Arabidopsis thaliana: one gene and its partner. The protein of the gene in region 1 purifies or fractionates together with the protein of each later gene. This does not show direct contact. Each region holds a gene or a part of one and is shown in the gene's direction. Other genes may lie near its edges. The genes, in order: AT1G33320 and AT5G15400.

Region 1 (3,928 bases):
AGCAACAATCTTTGTTTTACTCTAAAAATATGAGAACTTTTGTTGTTGGCTAGAATCCATTTTTACTAGTCAAGTAATACGTAAATGGCTAAATGCTACTAGTTAGTTGCCAAAAATTTAGATACTAATAGGAAAAATGCTTTTTGCAAGTTACTAAATTATATATTTACTTAAGAAAATACATTTCTCAATATTTTTTATTTTATTTTATTCCACCATCACACCTGTACTCTTTTGGAAAGAGTGTTCTTCTATCACTTTCAGTCATATTTTTTTTGGGTTAAGTTGCAAACTACTCACTTTCCAAAACTTAATTATGAAATAGGGCAGGTTACTATTTATAATTGGAGATTTAGCCACTTCCTTATGACCCCACAAATCAGAAAATCAATTATACCCCATGGTAACAACTTTATTTACCAACATGCCACTATTATGACATGTAGAAGAGAGGGTAAGAGAGAAATGTGGGTGAGATTTTTTATTTAATTTTCTTTTTCTTTCTTTACTACATTTCATTCTTTCAAAGATTAATAATTAAAATGTTCATTTGTAAATTTTATTTTTCTAAAATTGATCATATAAATAAAAATCTATGTTTTTTTATCTATCATTTGATATGCATTTTGTTTATTGATTTTTAATTTTTATATTACAGAACACTGTACATATAATAACTATACAAATATAGACCACTGTAACGATATAAACTACTGTACAGATATAGACCACTGTACAGAATGATGCATTTATAAAGAAAAAATATTAGTTCGTATAATAGTAAATTATGATTTCGTTAAACACATGCATCATTCTGTACAATGCTCTATATCTGTACAGTGGTGTATATCTGTACAATAGTCTACGTATGTACATTTGTCTATATATATACAGTAGTATATATCTAAGAAAATTTCAAAAACGTATTAGTTTCCGAACAAATATCTTTCTGTACAAATGCATCATTTTGTATTGTGGTTTATATCTGTAGAGTAATTGATATCTGTACAGTAGTGTATATCTGTACAGTGGTGTATATCTATGTAAATATTATTTGTATAGTATTCAATAGTATAAAATTTAAAAATCATTAAACAAAATGCATATTAAATGATAGAGAAAAAGACATAGATTTTTATTTATATGATCAATTTTAGAAAAATAAAATTTAAAACTAAGCATTTTAATTACTAAACTTTGAGGGAATGAAATATAATAAAGAAAGAAAATAAAAATTTAAAAAAAAAACTGACACACATCACACATCTCTCAGACGCTTTATCTATTCCTCTTTCTTTCTCTCCTCAGCCAAAGAGGTTCCTTGATAATTTTCAAAATTCTTCCACTATCCCACCTCTACTTCTATTAGCCACCTTATACACATGAGAAACCCGGACTAACCAGTCCTTTGAGAGGAAGCCATGGCACAAACGTACCAGGAATGCCAGCGGATGCGCCTCGCTCATCACTTTCAGTCATATTGAAAAACAAAGACATTTTTTTGTTCTTTCCTTTATTGATACACTAAATAAATTTCCCACTTTAATTAATAAACTAAATAATATGGATAAAATTAAGATATATTTATAAAATATTCAAATAAACTACGACACTTTGTTTTTGTGATTGTGAAACAAAATAAAGTAAGAAACATGCAAATATTAAAAGAAAATGCAAGTAACCAACGTTTCGTAACCAGAGAATCAGAGGTAAATAGGATTTGTTGTGGGTTTAATGGTTTTCAATTAGGTGAAAGATTACGTCGTGATATGAAGACGAGTTCGATCACGACCCTTGTAGTCAACACAACGACCTACTTCTTCAAAGATACTACCGAGCTAATCGACTTCAAGGTCCGTTTATATATGCTTCTAGTTAAAAATTGTAAATGGTGTGTTCCTTTGACTGAGTTAATCAACTATAGGGTTTACAAATATAAGTCTACTTTCAATTTTGTAGGAAAAACGGATTGACTTGTATGAGTATGCTCGTTATGGAAACCCAACAACTATGGCACTCGAAGAAAAGATTAGGTATATCTTTCTCTTGATGTCTTTGTTTACTGTCTCTCTATATCATGAGTTTTGTAAGTTGTTCCATTTTATGCTCAGTGTACTTGAAGGGGCTGAATCAACTTTGGTAATGGCATCGGGGATGTATGCAAGTAATGTTATGCTTTTGGCTTTGGTTCCTACAAATGGACATATTGTGGCAACTAAAGATTGTTACAAGGAGACAAGGATTTTCATGGAGAATTTTCTTACTAAACTGGGAATCACTGTAAGAAAATCTCAATTCATAACTTTCATTTTGTTTCCTTTCCAGCTCCATCGATTAACACTTTGTTATATATATGTGTGTGTGTGTGTGTGTGTTAATGTCTCCAGGTAACTTTTATTGACTCTGATGATATTGCGGGGCTCCAAACTCTTGTTAATAACCATGAGGTATTTTAAGTGATAATTATAAGTTCACTTAGTAACTTTAAAGCTGGTAAGCAATATATGAACTTGTGATCTTTTGTTTTTCAGGTTTCTTTGTTCTTTACCGAGTCCCCAACAAATCCATTTCTTCGATGTGTAGATATTAAGTTAGTTTCAAAAATCTGTCATAGAAGAGGAACTCTTGTTTGTATAGACGCTACCATTGCAACACCTATCAATCAAAAGACACTTGCTCTTGGTGCTGATCTTGTTCACCATTCTGCTACTAAGTACATTGGAGGCCACAACGATGTGCGTAAATCAGAATGTGTAACCTTATTATTCCTTGGAAAAATGGTTATCGAAGAATGATTTATTTGTTCCATGTGTCTTCTCAGTTTCTAGCTGGAAGCATATCCGGTTCAATGGAGTTGGTTTCCAAGATTCGCAATTTGCATAAGCTTTTGGGAGGCACGCTTAATCCGGTTAGAATGATTGATCCTCCTCGAATGATATGACTTTGTAAATGTGTTGAAATTTCAGTTTTTGTCGGTTTGGTTTTTTATTAGACAATTTTGGTTCACATTCTTCTTTTTAGATTTAGCTAGGATCGGTCCTATTATTCAACCTTTGGATAATTGGTTCTTTGTAAAAAGCAGAACGCTGCATATTTACTCATACGAGGCATGAAGACGATGCATCTTCGTGTAAGACAACAGAATTCAACCGGTATGAAGATGGCCCAAGTGTTAGAAGCACATCCCAAGGTACTATATTTTTCATCAAGATCCTTTCTTTCTTTTTGTTTACACATTAGTTATCTATTGGTACGTAAAATTGATAAAAGAGATAAGACAGATTTATGATTGAGTTTTTCGTTAATCACTCATAATCATTTACTTGTGGGCAAGATACATAAAAGAAGAAGAAGCTTACGAGGTTTCTTGCCAAGCAAGTAATAAAATGAAAACGACCTTAAAGAGAAACTAGAAGAAGATATTATTGAATTAATTTGGGATATATCTTACAAATGATCAAGAATCCCCTATTTATACATGCACGTAGACAATTAAGGATCAAACATATATAAAAACATCATAACGTTGCTTCATAATTTTCCTTTCAGTTTGAAATAGATCATCATATCTTATTAGAAAAGGGTTCAATATAATCGTGTTAGGTGAGTCGCGTTTACTATCTAGGCCTTCCGAGTCATCCCGAACATTTAATAGCCAAGCGACAAATGACTGGTATTGGTGGCCTGATCTCTTTCGAGGTAAGAAATAATAAAACTCCATCGATCCAAGAAACTATATTACTAATAATAATCTAAAGATGTCTTTGTTCTTTCACGAAAATAGATTGATGGAGATCTCAAGACTACAATCAAGTTCATCGATGCTCTGAAGATCCCTTACCTTGCAGCATCGTTTGGTGGATGCGAGAGCCTCGTGGACCAACTCGCCACAGGGATCTGGTATATATGATTTTCCACTAAAACATTG
Region 2 (3,928 bases), on another chromosome or scaffold:
TTTATCACTGCATCTGTTTGATGAGAAGGATGCAGAAGGTCACTGGTTACATTTTTGGAACTATTTGGTGGGGTTTTGCTCTTAATCTCATCGCATATTTCATCGCTTCTCATGTAAGTCCTCTCAAGCTAGATATTGTATTTCTGCCTGAATATAATGTCCTGCAACAATAGGTTATATTCAGGTCCTAAAACAAATGCAATATAACAAATCCCATGTGTATATATATAGTACTACTAAGGTCTGTCCTAAGATATGAAATTAAAGTTTGTTGTTTATGGAAATTCTGGTGGTTTCAGGTTGCTGGGGGATGTTGGTATGTTCTCGCAATACAGCGTGTTGCTTCTTGCATAAGACAACAATGTATGAGAACCGGGAACTGCAATCTGAGTCTGGCTTGCAAAGAAGAGGTCTGTTACCAATTTGTGTCACCGACAAGCACAGTTGGATATCCATGCTTATCTGGAAACCTTACCAGTGTGGTCAATAAGCCTATGTGCTTAGACTCTAACGGACCATTCCGATATGGTATCTACCGTTGGGCACTTCCAGTCATCTCCAGCAACTCTCTTGCGGTTAAGATCCTTTACCCCATCTTCTGGGGCCTAATGACTCTCAGGTAATTGCTTTGTTTCTGAGCTTAAGGTTTACATCTTGGATATAAAAAAATTCTCTGATTGACATACTGAATCTGTTTTGGGGGTCGCGTTTTACAGCACATTTGCGAATGATCTTGAGCCCACAAGCAACTGGCTCGAGGTTATTTTCAGTATAGTTATGGTTCTAAGTGGCTTGTTACTTTTCACGCTGTTGATAGGAAACATTCAGGTAAACTATGCAAGAATATGTCTTTTCTATGATATTGTGTTTTCATGGAATGTAAGATTTTAAAAAGCTTTTTACTTTACAATATTTTGAAGGTGTTTTTGCATGCGGTAATGGCGAAAAAAAGGAAAATGCAGATACGGTGTAGGGATATGGAATGGTGGATGAAACGTAGGCAGTTACCTTCCCGGTTAAGACAGAGGGTTAGGCGATTTGAGCGGCAGAGATGGAATGCCTTGGGTGGTGAAGACGAGCTAGAACTTATACATGATTTGCCTCCGGGTCTTCGAAGAGATATCAAACGATATCTTTGCTTTGATCTCATTAACAAGGTACTAGGAAGCAGACTTTATACAATCTTGTTAAGACTTGTGAAAGCAGTAAGTGTTAAGTCTCTGACATGTTTGATCTTTCTCAGGTGCCATTGTTCAGGGGCATGGACGACTTGATCCTCGACAACATTTGCGATCGGGCTAAGCCTCGAGTCTTCTCTAAAGACGAAAAGGTACTCATCCCATCATTTCTAAAAATTTATATTTCCAATATTTTGCTTCGGTTTCGGTTTAAGAGTTTACTTGAAGAGTAAAATCTGAGGTTCTTCGATTTTGTTGATTGTCACAGATCATCCGTGAAGGAGATCCTGTACAGAGAATGATATTCATCATGCGTGGACGAGTCAAACGTATACAGAGCCTAAGCAAAGGCGTCCTAGCCACTAGTACACTAGAACCAGGCGGTTACTTGGGCGACGAGCTACTCTCATGGTGCCTACGTCGCCCGTTTCTGGACCGTCTTCCCCCTTCCTCAGCAACATTTGTCTGCCTAGAAAACATCGAGGCATTCTCCCTCGGATCCGAAGATCTTAGGTACATTACCGATCATTTCCGTTATAAATTCGCGAACGAGCGGCTTAAGCGGACCGCAAGATACTATTCCTCAAACTGGAGGACGTGGGCAGCGGTAAATATTCAGATGGCGTGGCGCCGGCGTAGGAAAAGAACCCGTGGTGAAAACATCGGCGGTTCGATGAGTCCTGTGTCGGAGAATAGCATTGAAGGTAACAGTGAACGCCGGTTACTTCAGTATGCAGCTATGTTCATGTCCATTCGACCGCATGATCATCTCGAATAATAATAAAAAGTTCCAATTTTATATCGGTCCAAATAATTGTGTGTTCATTGTTCCTCCTCAATTGTTTACCTTTACTTCTTTAAAAAATCTTTCTTGGAATGATACTTCAACCTCTTACGGTTAAGTTCAAAGTAGATTTTTTGAGCAACAAAATCTTGGAGGAGTTTATCTTGGTAATTTTTTATTTTTTATTTTTTATTAGCAGTAAAAGTAATTGTCTTAATAAGTATAAACGACGTCGTTAGTAAGTACGACGTTTGCATATATCCTATATAGACTTTTTGTCCAAGCTCAGGACTTGCTAAAGCTCGTTCAGAGACTCCAAAAGAGTTCATAAACAAAAACCTACTCCCAGAAAGTTCTTCCAAATCTCTCGCCATGGTTTCTCTCTTCTTTCGTGAATTTTAGTTTTTCTAAATTTAATTATACTTTAAATTGCTAAGTCCAAACTCTTTCGCTTTTGATTCATCGGTAATACAAGTTTAAGAAAAAAAATTCTTATATTTATCTCTCAAATCGAGTTTCGAGTGTTTGATTTGATTCGTAAAATCAATGGCGACGAGCAAACCTCAAAGATCGCCGGCTGAAATTGAGGATATAATCCTCCGGAAGATATTTTATGTAACCCTAACGGAATCAACTGATTCCGATCCTCGTATTGTTTACTTGGAGATGACGGCCGCTGAGATTCTCAGCGAAGGTAAAGAGCTTTTGCTTTCTCGTGATTTGATGGAGAGAGTTCTCATAGATCGTCTCTCCGGCGACTTTTCCGACGCCGAACCGCCTTTCCCGTATTTAATCGGTTGCCACCGTCGTGCTTACGACGAATCGAAGAAAATCCAGTCGATGAAGGATAAGAATCTGAGATCGGAGATGGAGATTGTCACTAAACAAGCGAAGAAGCTTGCTGTTTCTTACTGTAGGATTCACTTGGGGAATCCTGACATGTTTGGGAACTCGGATAAACCTAGTGGTGGATTGGATAATAGGTTGAAGAAGAGGAATGTCTCTCCGGTTCTTCCGTTGATCTTTGCTGAGGTTGGTTCTGGTTCGTTGGATATGTTTGGAGCTAGTAGCAGTGGGGTTCAAGCTCCTCCTGGGTTTTTGGATGAGTTTTTCAAAGACTCGGATTTTGATAGCTTGGACTCGATTCTAAAGGAGCTGTATGAGGATTTGAGGTCTACGGTTATAAATGTATCAGTGCTTGGAGATTTCCAGCCACCACTGAGGGCACTCAAGTATCTTGTTAGCTTACCAGTAGGAGCTAAATCTCTGGTTAGTCATGAGTGGTGGGTTCCACGGGGTGCCTATATGAACGGCCGAGCAATGGAGTTGACTAGCATTCTTGGGCCTTTCTTCCATATTAGTGCGCTGCCAGATAATACACTATTCAAGAGTCAACCTGATGTTGGGTGAGTTCCAACTTATTTATGGGTTTCTATTACTGAGAATCATGTAGTCTTTGGGGCTCTTTTCTTATTGAGAAAGTTTGGATAGTAAGAATTATTGATTAGCTTTTACTCATAGTAGAGAGACTTGATCAAAAAAGGAAAAAAGCAGATATATTTGGCTTATATATGATGCCACTGTTAGGTTGTATACATATTTTAAGCATGATTATATAAATTTAGCATAGTTAGATGATCAGTAGAGGCGAAACCAACAGAAATATTAGTAAGCACTATGTTAAGTTAGAATATTGTGGATGAAATCCATTATTTTGAGCATTTTTTCTGGTCTGTACTGAAGAATCTTGATTGTCCATTTAGTATTTGACAAGGCTTAATTGTGCGAACATAAGAGTTTTCCTGATCCACCTCAGAGGATATACTTTACCTGTTATGAAAATGCTGATATATGTCTATTGTTTTTGTGAATATCAGGCAGCAGTGTTTCTCTGAAGCATCGGAACGTCGTCCCGCAGATTTATTATCATCCTTCTCCACGATTAAAAATTTCATGAACATTTTGT

The links.
Region 2: the proteins of AT1G33320 (region 1) and AT5G15400 fractionate together in Arabidopsis thaliana (co-fractionation; one large-scale study listed by BioGRID). This does not show direct contact.

Annotation. Positions count from the first base shown.
Region 1 is NC_003070.9:12,079,357-12,083,284, forward strand, and holds the start of AT1G33320 (Pyridoxal phosphate (PLP)-dependent transferases superfamily protein), read left to right. Parts: upstream 1-1,652; coding exon 1,653-1,853; intron 1,854-1,908; exon of another isoform or gene 1,909-1,959; coding exon 1,960-2,033; intron 2,034-2,111; coding exon 2,112-2,280; intron 2,281-2,387; coding exon 2,388-2,447; intron 2,448-2,531; coding exon 2,532-2,735; intron 2,736-2,821; coding exon 2,822-2,908; intron 2,909-3,082; coding exon 3,083-3,190; intron 3,191-3,603; coding exon 3,604-3,699; intron 3,700-3,784; coding exon 3,785-3,900; intron 3,901-3,928. UniProt on the Arabidopsis thaliana protein: Catalyzes the first committed step of methionine (Met) biosynthesis. Catalyzes the formation of L-cystathionine from homoserine esters and L-cysteine, via a gamma-replacement reaction.
Region 2 is NC_003076.8:5,001,488-5,005,415, reverse strand, and holds the start of AT5G15400 (U-box domain-containing protein), read left to right. Parts: upstream 1-2,162; 5' UTR 2,163-2,508; coding exon 2,509-3,368; intron 3,369-3,839; coding exon 3,840-3,928. Other genes in the region: DND1 (Cyclic nucleotide-regulated ion channel family protein), read left to right, coding at 1-113, 300-619, 717-828, 921-1,157, 1,244-1,330, 1,447-1,956. UniProt on the Arabidopsis thaliana protein: Ubiquitin-protein ligase that may function as an E3 ligase in conjunction with specific E1 and E2 ligases. May also function as an E4 ligase mediating the assembly of polyubiquitin chain assembly on substrates monoubiquitinated by another E3 ubiquitin ligase.